Drosophila melanogaster: one gene and its partners. The protein of the gene in region 1 interacts with the protein of each later gene in a pairwise test. Each region holds a gene or a part of one and is shown on either strand. Other genes may lie near its edges.

Region 1 (8,851 bases):
AGCTTCTTTTCATATACTACTGCCCTCCCTTTTTCGCACTGTGCAGCTGCTCCGCAATCTTTGGACGTGGGAAAGTTCGCCCACGTTTTTCTTTTTATTTTATTTTTATTTATTTTCTTTTTTTTTTTTTTTGCTTCTTTTTTGGATTTTTATTGTGCGATCTTGGATCTAGGATCAGAGTCCGATCCAAACTGCCCAGTTGTGCTTGGCTGGATCAGTGAAAGCTCGCATGCGGCATGTGGCAAGTGGCATGTGGCATGACGACCACTTGGATGTGGAGCTGGAGCTGCTCTGCATTTGTAATTGCCCGGGTTGCTTTCTGGCCGGATATCGCAGGTTAATTGAGCGAAAAAAAAAGCGCGAAAGGCAACAGCACAGTGTATGTATCATAAAAACCCGATTTGCATGTTTTTTTTTTTTTTTTTTTTCATTGGCCATTGGCCAAATGTGGTCAAAAGCCAAAATAAATATGCTGGGCCCAAGTATTCACCTTAAGTATATGTATTATGCGAGAATTTTGAAACATTACGCCAACGCTAGGGCAATAATTTAAGGTCAATTGGGCCTACAAAGCCGACTCGGTTTGCTATATATAGCGAAAGAGCTCCAAATAACCATTCTTCGAGTTAGTTTTTTGTGTTATTTTTTGTGTTTTTTTTTTTCTCGATTTTTGGCAGCCCGCATTCACGGGCCATTCAAAAAACACTCGAAAGACCCCAAAAGTTATAGATGGATAGTTGAATGGTTGGTTGGATGGATGGATGGATGGATGGTCTTGGATTTGGATTTGTATTTGGATTTTACGCTGTGGGTGTATTTGTGATATTTTTGTATGGTTTTGTTCATTTGTCGGCTGGTAGAAAGCAACGAGCGGAGCAGCAGTAACCCGTTTAAGTCTCATGAATAGTTATTCCAACATTAACCGTAACAAAAAATGCTCGGCAACAAAATTAAAAATACCTTTTGCCATGCAAGTTATTAATGAGTTATCTGCCTTGGTAATTGTTATTTTTTTTATTATTATTATTTTTTTTTTTTTTTGCCTTTCTCGCTTTCAAGATATATGTACGTATGTATATACATTTAATTTTTTTTTAAGGGGGGAAATGCAAAAACATGAATTAATGCAGCAAATGAATGGTGAGAAAATCTGTTAGCGAAGTGAGTAATTAAATGCAATGCGATAAGAAGTTCAACTTAATGAATGTGCAGTGAGTGAAAGAGTGAGGATTTACAGTTTGATGGAAGAGGCAAACAAATGTTGTTTAATAGCAGTTGAAACTAATATAATTTATATTTCAGCTAATGAGTGAAGCAAAAAACTGAACACACGCTTTATATTCAAATGAAGTACGCAGTTCACTCAGTGAATTTATGTGAATAAACTCCAAATTGCTTGAGTTTTTGATAGAACAAGATAGAATTGAATCTAAAAAAAAAACACACTTGCACATCTACTTTTGCTGCCAATTTCGCGTTAACTGCCAATTAAGAAGCCATTAAGTGATCTATTGGCTAACTATTGCATACAAAGTGGAAACTATTTGTTTGAATGCATAATGATTGCAACACGATTCAATCAAATGAATCACGATGGATAACTATGTGTAAAATGGGGCTATATAAAAAGCAGATTGTGCGGGCAATAAAACAACAGGAGCGTGACCTTTATTATGAGTAATAGATATTTGTATAACGAGGGTGTAAAATATTTCATTCGAATAAAGGTTAGGTTCATTTATCTATGCTTTATGACATATATTACCTAATTGCGCATACATAATTACAAAAAAAATATATACTTATACCAAAAAGCAAATAACATGAATGTAACGAATATGTTGTTAAATCAATAGTTTTGACCCCATTCCTCAAGCAATTCGGCCCATCAATCATTGTCAATAAACTGAAGTGTTGATTGAGGCCTTAATGAGACACTTTTAATTATTTGCCAAATAATATTGTTTGTAGTTATCCTGTTAACCAAAACTAAGGTTGTACTTCAATTTAATTAAATCTAAACTGTTTTGCCATTACTCTTATTAATTAATACATTTATCGATGCTCTTGTTCAGTTGGATTTCCTCGAAGAAATCGCGATTTTCTCAATGGCCCGCCGGCGTTGATGACCTGAATCTAAGTGGGCATAGCTGGCTGGCTATATGGCTATATGGCGTTGTGGCCACATTCGTGGCCCAGTCGCTCCGAGCCAGCTTCATCTGCACTAAGCCACGTTATCTTCTTTCACTTGAGCTTCACCTACATTGGAAGGCCGAGTGGACGGCGGACGGTATCAAAAGTGATCATAAATCTTTATAACCTGTATGCGCTGGATTTTCACCAACTGGCTTTTTTCTTTCCTTTTATTTGGATGGGGGGTATGTGGTACTCTCTTCTGGGTTCTGTTGTGTGTTTTTTTTTTCACGAAACTAAAAAGTGAATTTCTGCTCTTTAGCCTTCAGCCTCCTCCGCCGACGATCCCCTGTTTTTATGTTATTTTTTTTTTCATTTCTTGTTTTTTTTTTTTTTTTTGTTTTTCATTTTTTCCTGCCAGTTGACGTTTGTGTGTTTTTTTGTGAATTTACTCGTATATATATTTTTTTGCGCGCACTTGGCCTTAATTGCGCATGCGCGCGCACTTTCAATTCCTTTGGGGCTCGCAACAAAGAAAATGAAATAAGACAAAACATAACACAACTAAACAAAATCGTGTGGCAAATTGTGGCCGGGGCAGAAATTAGATTTCAAGCGCGGCGATAATGATGCGGCAGAGTAATAATAATAATTTTTAAAGGGGCCTCGAGGAGGGGCCAAATCCAAACGAAAATTGCTCTCAACCCAAAAGCAGATTGCACAGTGAACAAAAAATCAGGTCTTTGTCAAATATATTATAGAATATTATTCTAAATAAGTAGTATTTCACTTACAAAAACATATTATATTGCCTTCTGTTTACTGCATTCACTAAGGATATTCATAAACTTTATATATGAGTATATTTAAAATAAAGATCGTTTTTTAAGAGGTATCTAGGGGATTGTTAGTGATCTATGTATTTCACTTGCATATTTATTAGAACCACTTTATTTTTCTGCACTTGACATTTCAACATAAAATCGCTGAATTCCGTCGGAACGAATTAGAGATTTTCCAGGTAAAATAAAGCGATTTAAGGCCAAGTGCAACTGGCCAACCCAACCCAGTAAGCAACTCGGCCACTTCGGCGACCATTATCCATTATCCATTATCCATTATCCATTATCCATTCCCCCCGGGTAGAACCCGCAGTTTCGGATAGGTCAAGTATATGCGGCACTTTATGGGCTTTACGAGTGTAAAAAAAAAGCAAAAAAGCAAAAGATTGAGAAGAGAAAAGAGCTCAAAGACAGATACTTGCTTATTTCTAGAGGCTGACCAGAGCATCTTTTTCATCTTTTTTTTTCATATATATATATATATATATGTATATATATCTACTTTTTTCACCAGTTTCGTATATATTTTCGCTGTAGTTTTTGTTTTTTGCCTGTGGGGCCAACAGGTTCGCTGGCAGTTGGGAAAAAGTCAAACGGCTCAATAATCGAAGACGACGGCTCAGAGTTTTTGAGTCCGCGACTCCGAACTTCAGCTCTTTGAGTCCAGATAAATGAGGACAACAACAACAGCGACAACTTTAAAGAGGTTGTGCGTGTGCCTGTGTGTGTGTGAGCCAGCTGGGATAGGCACACTGTGCGAAAAGAGCATGTACTACTTTGTTCTAATCAAGCTAGGCAGGTCGAATTCAAATTGATTTTAGCACGTTTTCAATTTCAAATGCCACATAATAAATATATTATTATGTTTAAATCTTACAATTTTCAACATATTCTATTATTTTCTGTGTACTCCATTCGAATTAAAAAAATCAGCGAAACCAAAATAAACGAAAAATCAGACAGCAACAAGAAAAAAAAAATACGAAAATATTTTAAGCCCAACGAAAGAATAACAAATGAATGGAAATATTTGCTCACCTCTTCCTTTGGTTTTTAGTGCCTTGTAATCGCTGTTGTTGACTCTTCAAATGTGTGTGTTTTTATATTTTGTAAATTTTCTTGGTTTTTTTTTTTTTTTTGATATTTGTTTATTGCTTGCCCGCTTGATGTGGCTGCATTATATTTCAGCTGTTGCCGCTGAAAGCCAACGGAAAGCAGGCAAGTTTTCAAATTTGCACAATGAAATTGATTTTACAACGCGTAAAATTCCACAAATTATGCACGAAATGCGTTTTGAATTGCACTCAGCCACCACACTCGAAAAAAAGGCTGCCATTCACCGCTCGCCGCGAAGCGTAGCCCAAACCCCCCCAAAAAAAAAAAAGAAAAACTAAAAAAAAAAAACCGTTGCACGCCTGCGCTTTTCAAAAATCTTCCCAGTTCGCTTCGAAACTTTCATCCGCAACGTTGGCCCTCCGTCGACGACTTTCGCGTTCCAGCGCTCAAAGCAAACTGAGCTGCAGAGCGTCGGAATTGGAAGCAGCGAACGGCGACTGCGACGCGACTGCGGCGCGCCGGCGATCAGAGATGAGAGCTTAGCTTTTTTCAAAAGCTTATAAAAAAAAGAGTCATCTTCGAAATGACATTCTCATTCGATTGCAAACGTTTATGTGTACGAATTACTTGAAAATTGAAGAATATAACTTGTACTTTAGAGATTCATGCAGTTATTTAACTTGTTGGCTAAGGATTCAATCACTTTCATAAGCATATTTTCCAAAAGATCAATGTATTGTGTACTAAATGTAGTAGCTGTTTCTCATACTCTTTACTTTTTATAACTTATAATTATACTAATTATGCTTCTATTGGTGTTATGACGTACAGTCAGCACTGATTGCTTGCGAATCGGATTGGCAATCATTGTCGCCGTTCTTTCCGGTTTGCTGGCGTTGCCACAGCGCTGCAATTAAGCGGCTAATTCTGATTTTGGATACCGATTCGGATCCAGACTTGGGATTCAAACATATGTATAAACATATATGTTCGCGGCAACCGCATTAGTCCAAGTCGCAGTCGCCGCCTAGGTTAATTTCCCTCAATTTTGTGGCTTTTCGCATATAGGTTCATTGCTTACATTCATAGATACACAGCGAGAAAATTGTATTACTTACAGATAATTCTTTAAAATATTTAATAGTATTTGATATTTAATAGTATAGTATTTAAAATTTAATAGTATTTAATATTTGGTTAGTTTCTTCACTGGAATATATTTGAACCTTAAGATTTCTCAGGAGGAAGGATTTTTATACCAAGGATTTTTTAATTTCCTCTGTGTAAAACACACTTGGCTACCTGTTGCACACACACACACACACACAAATTCTAGTAATGGCCGTCCGCAAATTGACCCATAAAATTGTAACGTTGCTTGAGCCAAGATAGTTTAGCTGTCCATATATCACTGCAGATACACGACACTGGCCTACAAAAGAACACTTTGATAATTCCCCCCGATGTGCAGTGTTGAGATGGTAACGTTTTGTGCTTAGCCGACTAAGATGATCTTCTTAATATAGAAAAACTAAACTTCAAATCTACCACTTCTCACTGGCCTGTTAACCAGTGCTATTTGGTTGAGAAGTCTGGAACTCAGTGAATCGGCAGTTGTATCCGCGAACGCATAAATAACCATCCGTGGCTATATGTTCGCTGTTGTCCAGTGGTACACCTTCATCGTGTCGATCGAGGTGGCGATCAGATTCTTCGATTTGCATGCCAAACAGCCGGGAACATCGCTAGCTTACTACGAGTATATGCATCCGAGGCATGCGATTCGATTTGATATCCGATCGCCGGCGGCGATGGCCACAAGGTTATCCCCTCCCACGGATCATGGACATCATTAGCTCATTCGTCACGATCGCAATGGGTCCTAGAACCAACGATGGAGTACTCGTAAGTGAGAATCCATGGGTCATTTGGAGAATTGCCCAGATCCAGCAATCGCAACAATAATCATTCAATCCACAATGAGCCCATGAAAAGTTTGGCATTTTCATACAGGTTCTTCTCTTTGGGAAATTGCTTGTTGTATAAATCAGCTCTTTAGGAAACTCTTTTGAATTTGTGATTATATAACTGTGTAATTTTTATTTGGAAAATACCTTGTTATATCCATACAACAAAAATATTAGACAAATCATAATGGATAAAACTTTTGATAGCCGTTTTAAACAAAATTATGCATTGGAAATATTTTATTTTGTTTGATCCTTTAATCACTTTAGGTTCACCTTGATTTCGAAGGTCTTGTAGGTGTATTCCTGGATGACTTTCAGATTCTTAATAATGAACTCCTTGATGGCCTGCACGTAATCGGCGGCGGCCAGGATGAGCTTCTTAAAGGCATCGATCACCTTGCCCTCGCCCTCCAGACGACCCTTGAACTTCTCCTCCGACACCTGGGCAATGAATCCCCGCAGTCCCAGTGCATTGGCCTGGACCAGTGCAAACAGCTCGAAAGCATCCTTGGGCACCCTGCCACGCACCTCAAAGTCACAGCACAAGATCTCCTCCTTTTGGCCTGCCATCTCGAGTAAGATTGAATTTGCCAAAAAAAAAAAAAAAAAAAAAAACAGGGTGTACAATATGTAGTTTCGAAGGTCACACAACCACTCGATTGACTTGATGGCAAAGTCTCGGCGCTCTGTGACCCTGACTTTGAACCTCCAGATCCGATCGTAATTGCCTCCAATTATCGTGTATCCATAATCGCCACAAGAAATCAGCGGCAGCAGGTTACATTTCCAGCAAAAAACAAAACAAAACAAACAAACCCTCTTGTAAACTTAGCGCAAGTTTTTAGTTAAACAACAAAAGAAAAAAATGTGTAAATAGCAACATAAAAACAAAAAAGGGGATAGAGAGAAACATACAAAGTATAAACAAAAGTAAATATATAAATCACAAGGCGGTTTCAAGTCTTTGGCGTTTTGTATGTGCATCCGAATCTTTGTATCTTAGTATCTTTGTATCTTAGTATCTTTGTAGCTTTGTATCTTTGTATCTCAGCGGCTCCGTATCTCTATGCTTTGCATCTCTCTTAGCAGGCCCATCCTAAAAGCGATCTATCTCGACTTTATTTTTCCTCGACTCCTCCGCCAAAACGGGCACCTCCTGCCGTCTGCACATATTTATGTACATTTTTTCACAGAGTTGTCATGCGGATGATAAAAATAAAAAAAAAATAATTACAAATTATATAAATTGCTTAATTATGATAAGCTTGTGGCACGACAACAACACAGCAGCAGAACGAAGAAAAGTTGGCAACGGGCAAAAGCAACGAATGGGGGCAATACTCTTTAATAGATGCAACATATACGCGCAGCACTCTCAATTTTTTATATGCAAAATTTGACAAGTCAAAGAAATATCTTTTAAATGCGCATGCGACATGCATATAAGTTAAGTATTTATGTTGTAAGCTTCTTATTGAAAACTTCTAGTTAAATAAACAAAGGGTTTATCTGGTGTTAATTGAAGCGCTAATCCCTGATTCTTAGAAGTTTACAACCATGGATTGGCAAAGCGAAGGAGTTGACCACCATTTAATGGTGGGTCGCAGTTGGAATTTGAATTTGAATGCGAATTGGAAACACAGTCCATTGGGATTTTTGCAACAGTTGCCGGCACGTGACGTCAGGACCGTGAGTTTATTCATTTTTTCGTTTTCCCAGAAACTTAGCCCTCTGGCAATTATGGCCCATTATCCCGGCAGCGGAATGGCAATTATGGTGATGTAAGACATGGTCAGATGTTGTGAGTTTAGCATATTATAACCACAGATAGCTGGAATGTACATATATGTTGTGTATGTGTATATATTTAATGGATTCCTGTATATAATCTGCGTGCGCATATCTGAGATTAGCTTAAGACACGTATAAATACATATAAAACGCTCGTAACACACAGCTACAAAAAAAAATGTTACGTTAACATTTACAATAGATTCTTGTTTCATTATGCTTATCAACACGAGTTATTCGATTTGCGAAAAAAAAAAATAAACGGATATGGAGTACATATACGACGAAACGGAATCTTTACGTCCGGCAGATGCAGAGAGTGTCCAGAAGGAAGACAGCCGCATTGATGATCATCAGGGAACCGGCTCCAATGGCCTGGCGCTTCCTATCGGTATTCAGGAGTCCGCCGTGCCACTCATCGATCACCAGTGCTCCGGAGGCCACGAACAGCAGGCAGCCGATCAGCGAGAATAGGGCGTTCAGGCGCTTCTCCACCAGCGAGTTGAGCACATGACCTGTCAAGGAATCAGGAATCATCTTGTAAGGATACTGCGCGATATCCATAGTTATATAGGCAACACTCACCGATCAGCAGAACGCCGCAGATGACGGTGTAGCCACCAACGGTGCCGGCCACAATCACCGGATGGAGGGACAAGTTACCAACCGTCTCGTATAGCACAATGCAGGCGATGGCGATGGCCTGGCGGATGAGAGAAAGATCAGACGATATGATTAGCAGTGTTGTGAAACTTTATAGGAAGCAAATCTAGAACTAAATAGTTTCTTGACGCTTTTTTGTTTTTACTCGAATGAAAATGGTCTCAAAGCTAAAAGAATAACTGTTTTAAGCAGCTAATTATCAATACTAACTATACCTATAAGATTTGGGCGGATTTGTTAAAATTAATTTTTGGATAATTTTTTGATTATTTTTTTAAGGTGTAACATCGTCAAAATATGCCAAAAATGGCCAAAAAATAGAATTTCCATTTTTGAACACAGTTCGACTGGAAATTTAAATACAAACTCAACGATATATAACATTCCATATTCAGA
Region 2 (8,863 bases), on another chromosome or scaffold:
AGTGGGCAAAAAGGGACCGGAGCATCATGATGTGGCCGCGTCCAAAATACAAAAAGGTAAAAAAACGCAGGTGGATAGGCTAAGAGAGTACGACGAGGAGCACATCGACATAAGCGAGACGCCCTCGGAGGCGGAGGAGATGTTCCTCGAGGCCAGAATGGATGAGGCTCTGGCAGCGGTGCGAATAGCCAAAATCGAGCAGGCCTCCGCCGAGGAATAGGCCCCTACTATATACCATTTATACACACTATATCACTATATCGATCGATACTAATCGTAATACGACTACCAATAAAATGTAGAAAACGCAAACAACCAGCTATCATCTAGTCTAGGGCCTCGGCAAACCACTTAAGCCGCTTAGTGGTGTCCAATGTGGATACCATCCCACCCCATCCCGCTGGGCGGTTGTGTTCTCCATCTGATGCAACCAATCGGCTTATAGCTGTCTGAGACATAACACTTAACATCGACGGCCCCTGCGAAAAGAGATGAATTATAAGTGCTGCGTAGAAAAGAAATGAAAATTTAATTAAATTAAGGTGACTTCCCTCTCATTCACCACCACCGTCCACCGCCGCGACCGCTTTTCAAATGGGTTACTCTAACGGCCTTCCTCCGTTTCCATTTTCCCACAGCCTTCAGGGGATTCCGCGACCGCGTCCGCCTCCCTCCGCTGGTCAACGAGAAGTCCGGCCAACTAAACGAGAACACCGCCGACTTTATCCGTCCGTTTGCCAAGAAATGGCGCGAGAAGTCTATCTTCCAGGTCCTCCTGCACTACCGCGCGGCTCGCTTCCAGGACTTTGTCAATCTCTCACAGCAGGTGAGTTCAAATCTCTTATCTTCAAATCCAATATATATATATATATATATTATATTATGTACCAGGTCCACATCTACAACCAACGAATGGTGGCTGGCTTGAATAAATGTACTCGGGCTGTGCCCTTCGAGAGGATCAATATGCGCGAAGTGAACTCCTCGCAGCTAGGACCACTGCCAGTGCCCATAAAAAAGATGCCATTCCGCCTGGATCAGATACCCTTCTATGACACCCAGTATATGGTGGACCCGGCCAATTCCATTTCCCGCCAAGCCTTCCCCAATCAGCTACTAACGCAGCACATGGAGGACGATGAGCCTTGGGACAGCCCTCTGCAACGCAATCCTTCGATGACTTCTTGTGCCCTGACCTACAATGCCTATAAGAAGGAGCAGGCTTGCCAGACCAACTGGGATCGCATGGGCGAGAGCGACAATATCTACAATCAGGGCTACTTCCGAGATCCCCAACAGCTGAGGAGGTTAGCAAAGATACTCAAAGGTTGAACTTAAGTTTCTAACACTTTTTTTCAGAAATCAAATGCAGATGAACATGAATGCCTATAACAATGCCTACAACAGCTATAACAGCAACTATAACAACCAGAACTGGGGCGTACATCGATCCGGATCCAGGCGCAACTCCTTGAAGGGCTATGCGGCGCCTCCACCTCCTCCTCCACCAATGCCCTCATCCAACTATTATCGCAATAATCCGAACCAGCAGCAACGCAACTATCAGCAAAGATCCTCGTATCCTCCGTCGGATCCAGTTAGAGAACTTCAGAACATGGCTCGCAACGAGGGTGATGTAAGTGTATGTCAATTTCCTAAGGAAATTCTTCAGATATTTTCTTTCCAGAACTCTGAGGATCCACCATTCAACTTCAAGGCTATGCTGCGCAAGACTAACTATCCGAGGGGATCCGAGACCAACACCTATGACTTTAACAATCGCCGCGGATCGGACAGTGGTGACCAACACACGTTCCAGCCGCCCAAGCTACGCTCGACAGGTCGCCGGTACCAAGACGATGAGGGCTATAATTCATCATCGGGAAACTATGGTGTGTCTAGGAAGTTTGGCCAGCAGCAGAGGGCTCCGACCTTGAGACAATCTCCAGCCAGCGTGGGTCGCAGCTTCGAAGATAGCAATGCTAGATCCTTCGAGGAGGCAGGATCCTATGTAGAAGAGGAGATTGCACCTGGAATCACTCTTTCAGGCTATGCCGTCGATATCTAAAACTAGTGATTAAGAGTAAAAATATTAAAATTAATTGTTATGCAAACCATAAGACAATTTAGCTAAAACCCACCTAAAATTCCAAAATAATGATTGAAGTTTTCTTCATCACTTTCTCAAAAACGTTTCACACAATGGAATAAATAAAATGTCTTGGGATAAATCGTTATTTAAATTTTCACTTTTTTCTTACCGCATTTCATTTTTCTATCTCTATAAACCACTTAATTATTTAGGTTATTTGTAGGTAAATGCTACCTTGGCATACTCAAACATTTAACTTTAAAGACATTGATATAAATTCAGCAATTAATTTGCATTTTATTGACGTAGGATAAAAATGGGAAAAATTCGACGAATTAACATTGCTTATTATGCTTGCTTCTTTGTTACATCATTTAAATGATTTACTTTTCTCACTTTAAGATCTAAAACGCAACAACAATACTCTCAGTATTTCATAAACTATATCCATTATACATTGTATATATAAACATTAATACCTAAACAAAAACGTTTATAGGAATGGATTGAACAAATACTCTTTTGTTCGCAGGACTTTTTTTGTGTGTTCGATAGGGATTGCAAAAAAGCTAAGGAAACTGAATTGAATCATTAACTGCACACCCATATCGGGCATGGTCTCACAAATTCTCGATGATAAAACAAAACTTTTTCCTTAAATAGTTTCACATAATATCAATCATCCATGTTGGGCTCACGCAATCCATCCGAGTGCATTTTCTTGCCCGCAATTTCCAACATGGCCCGATCTTCCAAATTGCCATCCAGCACAGAACGTTTCTATGGGTTAAAGATATGATTATTTATTTAATATAATATTGAGTTTAATTTGACATACGTGACCGTCGCCTTCTTCGTCTTCTTCTTTAACTGGTAAGTCTCCTACGGCCCAAACTTCCATGTTTCGTATTTTGAACTGTTTCCGTTTACTTGGGTACGATAAATAATTGGTAGATTAACCACAATTGTTTAAAATAATGTTGAATTAAAATATAGAATCTAGTGGTCTGTAAGGTGAAACATAATCAAGATTTTAATTTACACTCACCTCAACTGCACGTAGTCTCGATATGTAGTGCAACTTTCAACGCTTTGTCCATCGCCGAAACTGCAGTCAATCCAAAGGCCCCAAAAATCAAACTGACCGCCCATGCCCTGTATACGAAAAATATAAACATTTAGCAAAGCAATCAATCAATTAGCTATAAACATTACTCACCAGGCCATTCGGCATAGTCTGCTGATTCAAATTCAAATACTGATAGTGATTGTTATAAGTTGTGGCCGAAAAGCACCGCATGGCAGGGCTTAAGGTGTAGAGCAATGAGCTGTCATCGCCTCCAAATTGCGGTTTCACGGACCACGTTTCGGACGCGTAGCCGCCAAATATATATTGATCCTCGTCCTCAATAAAGAACAGCGTTGGTCCTTTGTCCAGCACTTTTCCCAACATCGTCGAGAAGCTTTCCCCGTTGATTTTCGATGAGAATAGAAAGCGCCATTTGTGCCGATGTTCGCGGGGCAGCTGAGCATTGATATACAGGACGTGAGGTAGTTCGATGATAGGGCGATAATGACTATTTTGCGGAGCATCTGGAAAATAGGAAAAAAGTTATAAACGATTTTAATAAATTTAAAAATTTTCTTTGTCCTACCACACAGTGCTGGCAGAATTGGAATTTCCATTTCCTTGATTATGTTGCGTTTGCTGCCACCATGGCGACAATACAGCTGGCTAAAGACCTCGCGCCAAATCTGCAAAAACTGCGGAGTGACGTGTAACCAACGTTCCAGGGCATCGTTGGGCATAGTGTGCTCTAGCTCCTTGCCCAGATTTCTCATAAGGCCCTTGGCAAATGTGGCGGCGGACCTTTCCGTGGTGTTAAAGCCAAGATCGTGCCACTCCTTGATGCCAGAGTTTTTCGCTGTACTTTCCAAGTGCACGTAGCTCTTGATCACCGAGTAGATATACTGGGGAATTATAAAATTGATTAATTCGCGAGCAAAAGATAAAAGAATTAAATAAACAAGTTGTTCATATGACAGCTAAGAAAATAAACGTGGAAATCTAGTTTTCAGGATAAACATAAATGGAGAGCTAAACCTAATTCAATAACAAACATGTTATGAATCCTAATGAGGCTCGGCTGACAGAAGTTATAAATATTATTTCCGCGATCTGATGACAATGACTACTTATTTATAGACTCACTTGCTCCAATTGCTTGCTGTTGAAGGTGTCATTTCCACTTCTCTCCATTGAGCCCAGGAGCATTTGCATTTTCTGGTCAATAGTACCGCGTTCCATGATGTAGTAGGGCTCTCCAAATTTCTTCAGCTGAAGGTTGACACATTGCTGACCTGGCTTCGTGGGCGTAAATAGATACTGAGCCGTACTTTCGGCCAGGGATCTTTCGATGGTTTGCGACCAAGTTTCCTATTTTCGAAACAAAACAACAGATACATGTATATGTGTGTACATAAACAAAATGCGCGCCGGATACGTAAACATAATTTTCCCGCTGCTGTCAGCAAATTCTTGCAGGGAACGAAGGTCTGGGAAGCGCTGACACAGATTAACCCATTGAAGGACGTACAATGAATAATAATTTGGTTTGACTGAAAACAAAGTCTCTCAAGTTTTATGAAAATAAATACTACTTCAATGTATGTAAAGTTTCAATTTAGAGAGTTTCCGCTTAAATTACTCTATATGAATGCAAGTCTTATAATTTCCTCATTCTAAAAATCAACTATTTCACATGCCATGCTGTAAACGGGTTAAGCATATGGTTTATTTTTAATTCAATTGGGTTTGGCCCTAATTGACGACCCCAGTCATTGAAATCACGACTAATTCGTTAGCAAGCAAATTCAACAAAGCAAAAGACAAACAGTGAAATGCGGCAGCAAACAAATTAGACAAATTATGGACACGTTCGCACTGGCCCAGGAATTATCAATTCGAAACTGATAACGCCCGAGTTGAAGATATCGAATTTTGCTATACCCTAGGAAGCGCTGTGATAATCAAACACGAGCTATAAATAGATGGAAATATTATAAGGAAAAATCATCATCTGGTTACAAACAAACATTTTTTGAGTGGTTGCATTTCCGTCATCTGTGCTGTGATAAAAATAAAACACAAATCTGGGGCCTTGAACCCGCATCGGAAAAATTATAGCATAAATTGTGTATGATCAGATTGATTTAACTAAATGGGTTAAAATAACAATTTTGGAAAGTTACGTGTACATTTAATCTAAATAGGACTGACTAGTTTAGAAAATTACATTTTTAAACAAGTTGAATAATTTACTTTTTATAAACTCTGTTAAATTTCCTGGTTTGCACTTTAAATCGAAAAAGAACTGTATTAAAATAAGGTTTAGAAACTTTGAACTTTTGTATAATGCCGGATAATGTTGCGACTCACTCTCTTATATAACTAAGCTTCTTTTTCGGAACATAGTACTATGATTAACTTCAATGTTTAATCCTCGAAATAGGAGTTAGTGACAACAACAAATTAATGCCCTAAAGGATATACCCATTCAAGTGAAGGGTGGCCATCGCAGCAGGTGGATGGACGGCCGTTTGTCATGCACTCGAAAGTCCCGATTTCTCTTTTTTTGCCGAAGAAAGTTCACTCCGCGCGTCCTTGAACTTGTGACCCTGACCCTTCCGCAAATGCAGAATGCAGTTGCCATTGATTTTCGCAGTGCACACGTGGCACGGTAACTGGATTTACTTGACTTACCACCAATCTGTCTTGGGTCAACTTCTCAAGTGCTCCGCCAGAGGCGTTTTTGTACGCGGATTCCAGCATGCGTAGCTCTTCCGAATTGTAGAGATTATCCGTCTCCCGCTTGCCACTCGCATTTCCCATCTCAGGACACGAAATTCAGTTGGCTGGTGCTACGACGGCTGGTAAACAAACAATGCAGCTGCAGCTGCGGATGATCGCGGATTTTAATTGAAAATAAAAAACAAACAACACAAGCTGGTGATGGAATGGCAGTCGATTTCCCTGCGATACCCTCGATAGTTTCGGAAACGGGTAAATTTCGCGGTGGTCGTCTGCACTATGAATGGTTATTGTCTGTGCTAAGTCAGGTCGATGTATTTGCTAAACGGTTAATTTTAACCGCTAAGCGAATTCAACGAAGGCCAAGCGAATAAAATAAATTTTAAATGCCTTGGATAGCTGTAGTTAAAAATTTATTAAAATAAAAAAAAACTTACAAGTTTGAGCTAAGATACCTTTGCCCTAGCCCGGTATTTTTGAAATTATCTCAGTTACCTTAGCAACACGCCTTATTAAATCAATTGCCTGGCCTAATAAAGTTCTCCCACACAAAAACACAATAAATTCCGATACAAAACTGAAGAAAGCTGGCATACCGACAGATATTTCCGGAATACGATTGGCCAAATCTGTGAGTAATCCAACGCGAAAGGATGATTGGCACTAGCAGCGGAACGTCCCACAATCGGAGTCGAAAGAAGAAAGAACAGTGCGGATCCTGTCCCAACAGATTCTCAAAGGATAAGCGCCAGGTGGCCGCCGAGGACTCGGATACCACGGAGGTGGAATCGTCTACGGATGAGGAGGAACGCTGGAAGGAAGTGGCGCGAGCCGCTGAGATTCCGGCTGACTATTATAATATCCAAAAACTGGTGAAATACATCAAGGCGGGCAATCAGACAGCCACTATAGTATCGTTGTGCTGCTTGAAGGACTACGATCTGAGCACCCAGATCAATCAGTTCGCCATCTCGGACATCGGCGGACTCGATGTCTTGGTTAACATCCTGGAGTGCAGCGACACCAAGTGCTGTTTGGGCGCCCTCAAAGTTCTCTCAGATATCACACTGAACATCGATATTAGGAAGACCATCGTAGATCTGGATGGCATTCCCCTCATTGTGGACATCCTAAACTCTTCCATGAAGGACCTAAAAACCATGGCCGCCGAGACATTGGCCAATGTGTGCAAGGTGCGACTGGCCAGAAAGTATGTGCGCACCTGCGGAGGAATCCCCAAGCTGGTGGATCTCATCGACATCAAGTTGAGGTGAGTTGGCATTGGATAAAGTGCTTCATACTACATCACCACATATAAGAAATAATTAAAAAAAAACCTAATTATATTATAGCATTCTAAAGACGCCTCGTGACCAATTGAGTCCAGATGATCTGGAATCTCTCGATATGACACGCGCTGGAGCCCGGGCTCTTTTCACTCTGGCCGATTCCAAGCACAACATGGAGCAGATGCGCAAGAGCGGAATTGTTCCTTTGATGGCTCAGCTCCTTAAGTCCTGTCACATCGATGTCGTCATTCCCATAATGGGCACCGTTCGAAAGTGCTCCTCGGAGCCGAAGTTCCAACTGGCCATCACCACCGAGGGCATGATTCCCGACATTGTGAGCCATCTGAGTTCCGAAAATACCGAGCTGAAGATGGAGGGCAGTACAGCGATCTACAAGTGCGCCTTCGACGGAACCACCAGGGATTTGGTGAGGGAGGCTGGGGGCTTGGAACCTTTGGTAACTATCATAAAGGACAAGAATGTGAGGGAAAATAAGCCTTTATTGAGAGGCGCCACTGGAGCGATTTGGATGTGTGCCGTAACCGATGCAAATGTCAAAGTGCTGGATCAACTCAGGACGGTGAACCACCTGGTGGCCTTGCTAAATGATGAGTGTGACGAGGTCCTGACCAACGTGACCGGAGCTATATCTGAATGTGTGAGATTTCAAAGCAATAGGGAGCAACTGCGTCAGGCTGGAGGATTACCAGCAATGGTTTCCCTACTCAACAGTTCTCACGCCCCTCTTCTGGAAAATTTAGCCAAGGGATTGAAGGAGTGTGCCGAAGATCCGGACAGCATGAGAATCCTTGAGGATCTGGATGCGGTCAGGCTGATATGGTCGCTATTGAAGAACCCCACAACTAGGGTTCAGGCCCATGCGGCTTACGCCATATGTCCCTGTGTTCGAAATGCCAACGATTCCGCTGAATTGGTCAGGAGCTTGGTTGGCGCCATGGAACTGGTGGTGGGTCTGCTAAAGTCCAAGGATATCATGGTCTTATCCGCCGTTTGTGCTGCCATTGCAACAATTGCCCAGGATCAAACCAATCTAGCCATCTTAACCGATCTGAAAGTCATCTACAAGCTAGCCGATCTCGTCCAGACCACCGACGACCTCCTTCGAATGAACTTGGCAGCTGCCGTGGCCGCCTGTGCCTGCTTCGGTAATAATACGGAGGAACTGGGACGTCTGCGTACTGTCACTCCGATTGTCACCTACATGACCAGCGACAATCCCTTGGTGCACCGCAGCACGGCCATGGCACTGGAGAAGCTATCGATGGATCCGCAGAACTGCATTACCATGCACCAGGTACATTTCTTCTACCTAATCACACTTAGCAACTCATTTAGATTCTTTTATTTTACTTCAGAGTGGAGTTGTTCCTTTCCTGCTGGAGTGCATTGGATCCACTAACAAGGAGCTCCAGTTGGCCGCCGCTGGTTGTCTGCGCAATATCCGCGAATTGGCCTTGCGTGCCGAGGAATATCTGCTTAAAATCGACGATGACTAGCTTCCTGTTTTTTTTTCTTTGTTAAGTTATTTAATTGTATTTGACGAAATATATGTGTGTATGCCGATGCTACCAATTTCTTGCATTTTTAGCAAATAAATTAATAAGTTAGTAAATTTTTAAACCAGAAATCCCAGAAAAATATGTTTCATTT
Region 3 (6,166 bases), on another chromosome or scaffold:
CTAAGATCTCTTCGAAAGGAGGGGTCCTGCTTGGAGGCTTCACTGTACTCCCCCAACGAAAACGTGGCCTCTGTTTGTCTATGCCATCTTCGCTGTTTCTGTCGCTTGCACCTGATCGAATTGGGTCCAAGTCTTCAGCTTAACTCGACTTGGCTGGGCGCACTTATTTCTGGCTGCGTTTCACCTTGGAGCACCCGGGCCAGCTGGTGACCCACCCGACCCAACCATCCGAAGATGTGCCTGGCTTTGCCTGCTACGAATGGCAATCGCTAATTGGTTAGTTATGGCCACTGACAATCAATCCGTCAATCGGCAACTAGACTGCCGAATATAAACATCCGGGTGACCTTGCCAGCTCCTGCCTTTCGGATCCGACCTTTCGGATCACTCCGCCCACTTGTTCGGCCCTTCGCAAACAGAACTAATGAAATAATCGTGTCGATTTCAACTTTAATTTCCGCTTGTCACTCCAACTGATAAACCGAAAGCAAGTGGAGCAATGCGAGCAAGGTTTGTGTACGTTGCACAATTATCAGTTTGGCTTCGGCTACCTTTTTACCTTATAGAGAGAGTGCCACGTTTGCCCTACCCACAAAGCCCTTTGCCACCCCACTGCACTGGAAGAAAATAGATAAAAAAGATACCTTCAATATACCTACTTCATATATCTTCAATCATCAGCTCGTATAATCATCGACATATCAAATAAGTTTCTGGGTGGTAAGATAATTCCTCGAAATGATCAGCACACTGTGTATGTTTTTCTTTCGGTGCTCCCAGAGTTCCCAGAGCTCTTATCTCGTTCCCAAGTCAGTTTCCCCAGCCGTATCGAATCGGTTGGGGCAAAGCGACGACACGTCTACAGAAATCAGATTTTACAGTCGGCCAACTGGCGACGGATCCGCAAATCGTACAACCAATATAGTGATAATGGGTTTACGGCCCCGAGCGACCGTGCCAGCGCACCAAGTGGAGTATCCGATTCCCAGCCCCAGCCCCAGCCGAAGAGCAGTTCTCCACTCGGATTCGGATTCGGAGTCGGAGTCGGAGTCGGACTCCGAAACCCAAACGGAAGCCGAGTATGGCGGCGGATTTAATCAGCCGGCGTCTGCTATTTGGGAGCGGAGCGAATCACGTCGCTTCTCGGTATCAGTGCCAGGCTAATCATTCCAGATCGATGGGCCTTCGAGGAGGCGCTGCTCATGGGGTTCAGACCCACCCCCGATCCTCACCTGCTGACGTACCCAGTTGGGATCACCAAGCGTGGCCAACTCATTAGTTCACTCGAGCTGTTAGCAGACCGAAAGACAACTTCCTTGGGAGGTGGCCACCATATCCACCTTGTATATCCGATCTCCACCACGTGGCGCTTTAGTCGGACATGAAAATAACTTAAGCCAAACGAACAAACTTTCGGGATGATCACAGTTTGCATTCCCTTGGCCCAAGTAATTCGCTGCCCGGAAGGGGTTTCGGATGGCTCCATGTCGGAGTAGCTACACGTAGGCACCGCCACCTCCACACTGGGTGCTCCATATCTAGCCGCCGATCGGTTGGATCGGGCGGCACAATATGCACTTGTCGCGACTCGGAACGTAACTGAAACGTCGGATTTGACGGTGAAGTTTAAAACACCAGCTCCCGACCAAGAATCGGGGCCCCACGAAGTACACCCAGTATCGTCGATCGGTTGCCCATATCTCACCTGTACAGGTGCGAATGCCAGGAGCTCGGCAACGAGCAGCAGAGGAGTGGGAGCGGGAGCGGGAGAGCCGAAAAACAGAAACGGAAAGCAAATAAATATGAAATATTGAACTGGAGCAGAAAGTGGGTGATATTCCGAGATAGCACTCACATCCGAGCGTGCGTGCTGTCTTTGTATTGGCCATTAAACGCCGCTGTCAACGTAGCCGAAGGGCTGAGAAGAAAATGAAATAGAAATGGAAATGCCAGTGGAAACGGAGCTGTCGCCCCACAATTTGTCTCAATAGCTGGCCTTATCAGAACAGGTAGTGGTGCGCACAGGTGAGGGCTCTCGCCCGCTCCCTTTGCCTGCGACCCCCGGTCGGGTGCATCCATTCAGGCCAGCTCACAGCTCAGGTCACTACGATAGTGGTGAAATGTAGTAAGGTAATAGGCTGCCCAAGATCACCATTTGATCTAATGCCTAGAAGAGAAAGAAACTCGTTGATCCCACCATTACAGTTTTTGGCTGATTATGGTACAATCCCTGTTATAAGTATCGCTTATATCTCTATGACCCCGGCTGTACCGCTGACAAGTGACACCTTCGACCCACCCGCGCTATCGCCGGCGACTTTATCAGAAGACAAGGCGAACATGCCAAGAGAGTCATAATTTTCTTTGATGTTCGCACGAGACGGAGTGTCATTAATTGATTTATTACCAAGTTGATTGCCTGGGCTTCCTTTCGGCGTGCTCCACTCAGATTTGGCGATGTCCAAGTGGTTAGATGGCCAACTAATTAGGTAAATGTGTTTGCTCTAATGTTGCCTGCCTGACTGCAGGAGATATCTTCTCGCCTTGGCAGATACACAATACTTCCAGCGGTGATAACGTCGAGGGTGGGAACATCGTCGTCGATGGGGCACTTAGATGATTGGGATGGCAACAAGGTGGCCCGCTGCGGCTGCATTTCGTCAACCGTTGTTTGCTCCATTTCGATCATTGTTTGAAGTGGGAACAGAATGTGTGAGCATACACCCCATTTCACTTGGCATTCCCATTCGCATTCTACCTTTCTCGATTCAATTTCCAGCAAATGTGTACACTTGCGGCTTGTTTATTCAGCTTGGCAGTGTCTCACTTGTGAACAATATATACAACTGGATCAAATGTGGCCACACGAATTGCTCGAGTTCCAGGGAAATACATGTCTTATAGATCGGTCTGTTGCCTCTTGGCCTCCATCACATTCTGCATGACCAGATCATAGAGATTTTCCTCCTCCCCCTCCTCCTCCTGGTTGTCTGGGTTCTTCGGATCCTTGCCCCTATCCTCTGCGTCCTGCAGACTCTCCAGCTCCCGTCGGTAGTTCTGCAGGGCCTGTTGAAGGAGTTTCTCCACGGGAGAGTACGTGGAACGCGATCTCAAACGGGCCTTGGCTATTTCCAGAGCCTGCAATGGGAATGGGAACAACCTTATGAACCTCTGATATCCCAAGAGATGGCTTACCTTCAAGGTGTTGGTGTTTCGCAGGAGAGCCTCTTCGTAGGACAGAACCTTGGGAGCAGGTGCACAGATTGAAGACTCGGCCAGCTGCTCGTTCTGCCGTTCCAGTTTTAGTTCCTCGGCTTGCCTAGAGATGTAGTCCAATATATGTATGTAACATCATCCTTGCACAGTGCCATGACCAACCTACACTTTCTCCAGTTTCTGGTCGATCTCCGCCTCGAGGGCCATGTATTTGTCGTTGATCTCCTTGATGAGGTCCATTGTGCGTCCTTGCAAACGGATTTTGTAAATTTGTAAACAAAAGCCCAAACAAACGAGTTGCCATGCAACGGTAATTTGTTTGGCAACCGTTACGAGGCGTTGCCAGCCGTGGGGAAACTTTTGGAGACGAATGGAGTTGCCACGTAGATAGATAAATATAGCGGTAGCATGAACCCTTAAGTGCCAACGATATTTTACATGGAATTTAAAAATACTATTTTACACTCCAAAAAAATTTTATTGGTTTCAAATTTAAATTACAAGAGAAAGGAGATATTTGATACATGCTAAAATAAAAAGCATACCAAACATAACAATTTTCATAGTGTTAATGAGAACCCTTTATTTCGATATCAGTTGGTTGTAAAGATTTCAGCTTTATCTGAATAGTCAATAAATGCGAAAGTAATTACATAGGAAAATGCGATAGTTTATCTCCCCATGATTTATTATATTTTCGAATAAACCAATTTTGTCAACTGTCTTGCTATTCGAAATTAATTTTCATTTGAGTTATCGTAGAGTTGATATATATTCACTTTATATAGCTCTATTGTTCATAGAAGATATATGTATGTATGTACGTCAGCATTATCTAGGAGACGCAAGTTTATTTTCTAGGTGGAACCTTTTTCGGTTTTTACACCTTCAGGTTTTAATCTCTGTTTAATCAAATTACGACTTTAGGCGCGACTACCTAAAGTTTCTTTTTGTCTAATTTGATGACTAAAGGCGATGATTATAGCATTAGATATCTTTTGAGACCTTCAATACTTTGGTTCAAAGGTCGAGAAAAGGTCTGCGTCTCAATCAGATAAGGGTAATTAAATATTAAGGGCTTTCACCACGAAACTCGCTTAGCACTCCAATAAAAGTGTTTTTAACTGTGACTTGCTAAAAAGAGAATAGTAGCTATTAAAAGATTTACTTTGAAGATATTTTGCTAAACAGCTAACTCGCCGCACAAAGTCCAAGTAGCAAAGCTGTGACGAAAAGACTTTACCTTGTTTAGTCATAAATTTGTGTTTATTATCTGTTATAACATTTAGAGCCGTGCAAATCGGGCACATACCTTTGATCACTGTACATCACAAGTGGGATGAAATACACTAACTATATACACACACAGTACTCTCTATCTAGCCGTCTACTTAAGTAATGGAATCTTACGCCTCCTTCAGGAATCGAATAATGTGGGGCGCCACTCGATCCGGGGTGACCAGGTGCAGATGATGGGTGCCGGGCACCTCAACGTAGACCACCTTCGCGGCATTCTCCCGCAGCGTGGCAATCACATCCGCATACACCTGTGGCGTCTCGAACTTCATGCCGGGAATACCCCGAATGTTGAGCACGCGACAGCGAATCTGGCGTGCGTAGGCCAACGTCTGCTCGGCGGTGAACATGCCCAGCAGGCTTACTTTTAGCCTCAGATCCCTGGCAAAGAGGTAGCCATTCTTGCTCGGATTGTGCCTCATTCCCCTGTTCATGAGCACACGAACCGAAGGCTCATCCACGGACCCATCGTACGCGTCCAGCACCAGTTTGATCATCTCGTCGTACGAGTAGCAGGGCTGCTTGCTCTCCGGCAGGGTTTCGTAGTCCAGGAACTTGTCCAGCGCCCTGCCAGTGCCCTCCGCCATCCGTTGGGTGCCGCGCACCGTGGGACCCGCGATATCGATGTTGATCAGCTTCTCCACCTCCGTGGGAAAGCTGGCCGCGTACATGAAGGTCAGAGCTCCGCCCAGCGAGTGGCCCAGCAGAGTGACGTTCTTCCAGTTATACTTGCGGACTATCCGGCGAATCAGGCATATGCCGTCCCAGAAGATGAAGTACTGCATGCCCATCGGATAGTGCGACGACTTGCCGTGCCCGGGCAGATCGATGGCCAGGATGGAGGTGTCCGCCGGTAGCAGGGGGCACAGCCTGTCGAAGCTGCCGCAGTTGTCCTGCCAGCCGTGCAGGGCGATGATGGGCTGCCTCTCCTTCGAGCCCCACCACTTGGCTGCAAGCGGGAAAATCGATTAGTACATATGTATGTAACTTGGTTTCAGCACGTGTATGTTAATCGTTCAGGGGAATCGCGTGATGTTTCCAAAAAATATTACTCAAAAAACAAGCAAAGAGATAGCGTTATTGGGCTCAGTTAGTAGAACACTTGTAGTGCGTCGAAACTAACAAAATATTTTAGCCGCGTCACATCGAAAATCACGTCGGATTGCCATGAATGGTCGATGCTGTTGATTAGGAAACGGCTGGCAGGTGACTCACCCTCAACGGTTCCCCAGGGCACCGCGATAGAGAACTCCTCCCAGCTGTCCTCGCCCAGCAGCTGCAGGGGCTCCTCCGTCTGGCCATCTGAAAGCAGGGGGAATCCACATAAGTAATTCAACTAAAACCAAAGCAAGCTGTGACGAAATGGTCTGCGTCTGGTGAAATCGCCCGCGGGCCAGGTGAAGCGCAACCAGCGGAAACTTCGGACTCAGGTGCGCAGAGCGTGCGAGTCGGTGACCTGACCACGACCTCCTCCTCCGGTTTACTCACTTGTCTCTGGCGAAAGTTCCGCCGCGGGAGATTGCGCCGCTGTTGTTGCTGCCACGCGTGTCTGGCCCATGGCTAATTGCTGCTCGCAAATGGTGCTCCGTAATGCTGGACGCGGATCGGGCGAGCTCCTGCCTCGGGGAATCTCAAAAAGCGACTAACTAAAGTC

The links. The genes of interacting proteins can lie anywhere in the genome.
Region 2: the proteins of CG15365 (region 1) and CG5149 interact in a two-hybrid assay, tested with the Drosophila melanogaster proteins (one large-scale study listed by BioGRID).
Region 3: the proteins of CG15365 (region 1) and CG13949 interact in a two-hybrid assay, tested with the Drosophila melanogaster proteins (one large-scale study listed by BioGRID).

What each region holds. Positions count from the first base shown.
Region 1 is NC_004354.4:9,063,495-9,072,345, forward strand, and holds the start of CG15365 (uncharacterized protein), read right to left. Parts: upstream 4,490-8,851; 5' UTR 4,014-4,489; intron 1-4,013. Other genes in the region: CG10970 (uncharacterized protein), read right to left, coding at 6,260-6,571; CG44325 (uncharacterized protein), read right to left, coding at 7,098-7,164, 8,094-8,307, 8,378-8,495.
Region 2 is NT_033779.5:7,382,120-7,390,982, forward strand, and holds CG5149 (uncharacterized protein), read right to left. Parts: upstream 6,135-8,863; 5' UTR 5,985-6,134; coding exon 5,856-5,984; intron 4,530-5,855; coding exon 4,305-4,529; intron 4,064-4,304; coding exon 3,748-4,063; intron 3,686-3,747; coding exon 3,312-3,685; intron 3,248-3,311; coding exon 3,141-3,247; intron 3,022-3,140; coding exon 2,931-3,021; intron 2,873-2,930; coding exon 2,768-2,872; 3' UTR 2,367-2,767; downstream 1-2,366. Other genes in the region: ninaC (neither inactivation nor afterpotential C), read left to right, coding at 3-56, 639-826, 892-1,307, 1,360-1,636, 1,688-2,068; gudu, read left to right, coding at 6,557-7,173, 7,256-8,507, 8,569-8,709.
Region 3 is NT_033779.5:852,840-859,005, reverse strand, and holds CG13949 (uncharacterized protein), read right to left. Parts: upstream 3,536-6,166; 5' UTR 3,457-3,535; coding exon 3,383-3,456; intron 3,320-3,382; coding exon 3,196-3,319; intron 3,139-3,195; coding exon 2,899-3,138; 3' UTR 2,367-2,898; downstream 1-2,366. Other genes in the region: kraken, read right to left, coding at 4,623-5,461, 5,728-5,814, 6,001-6,070.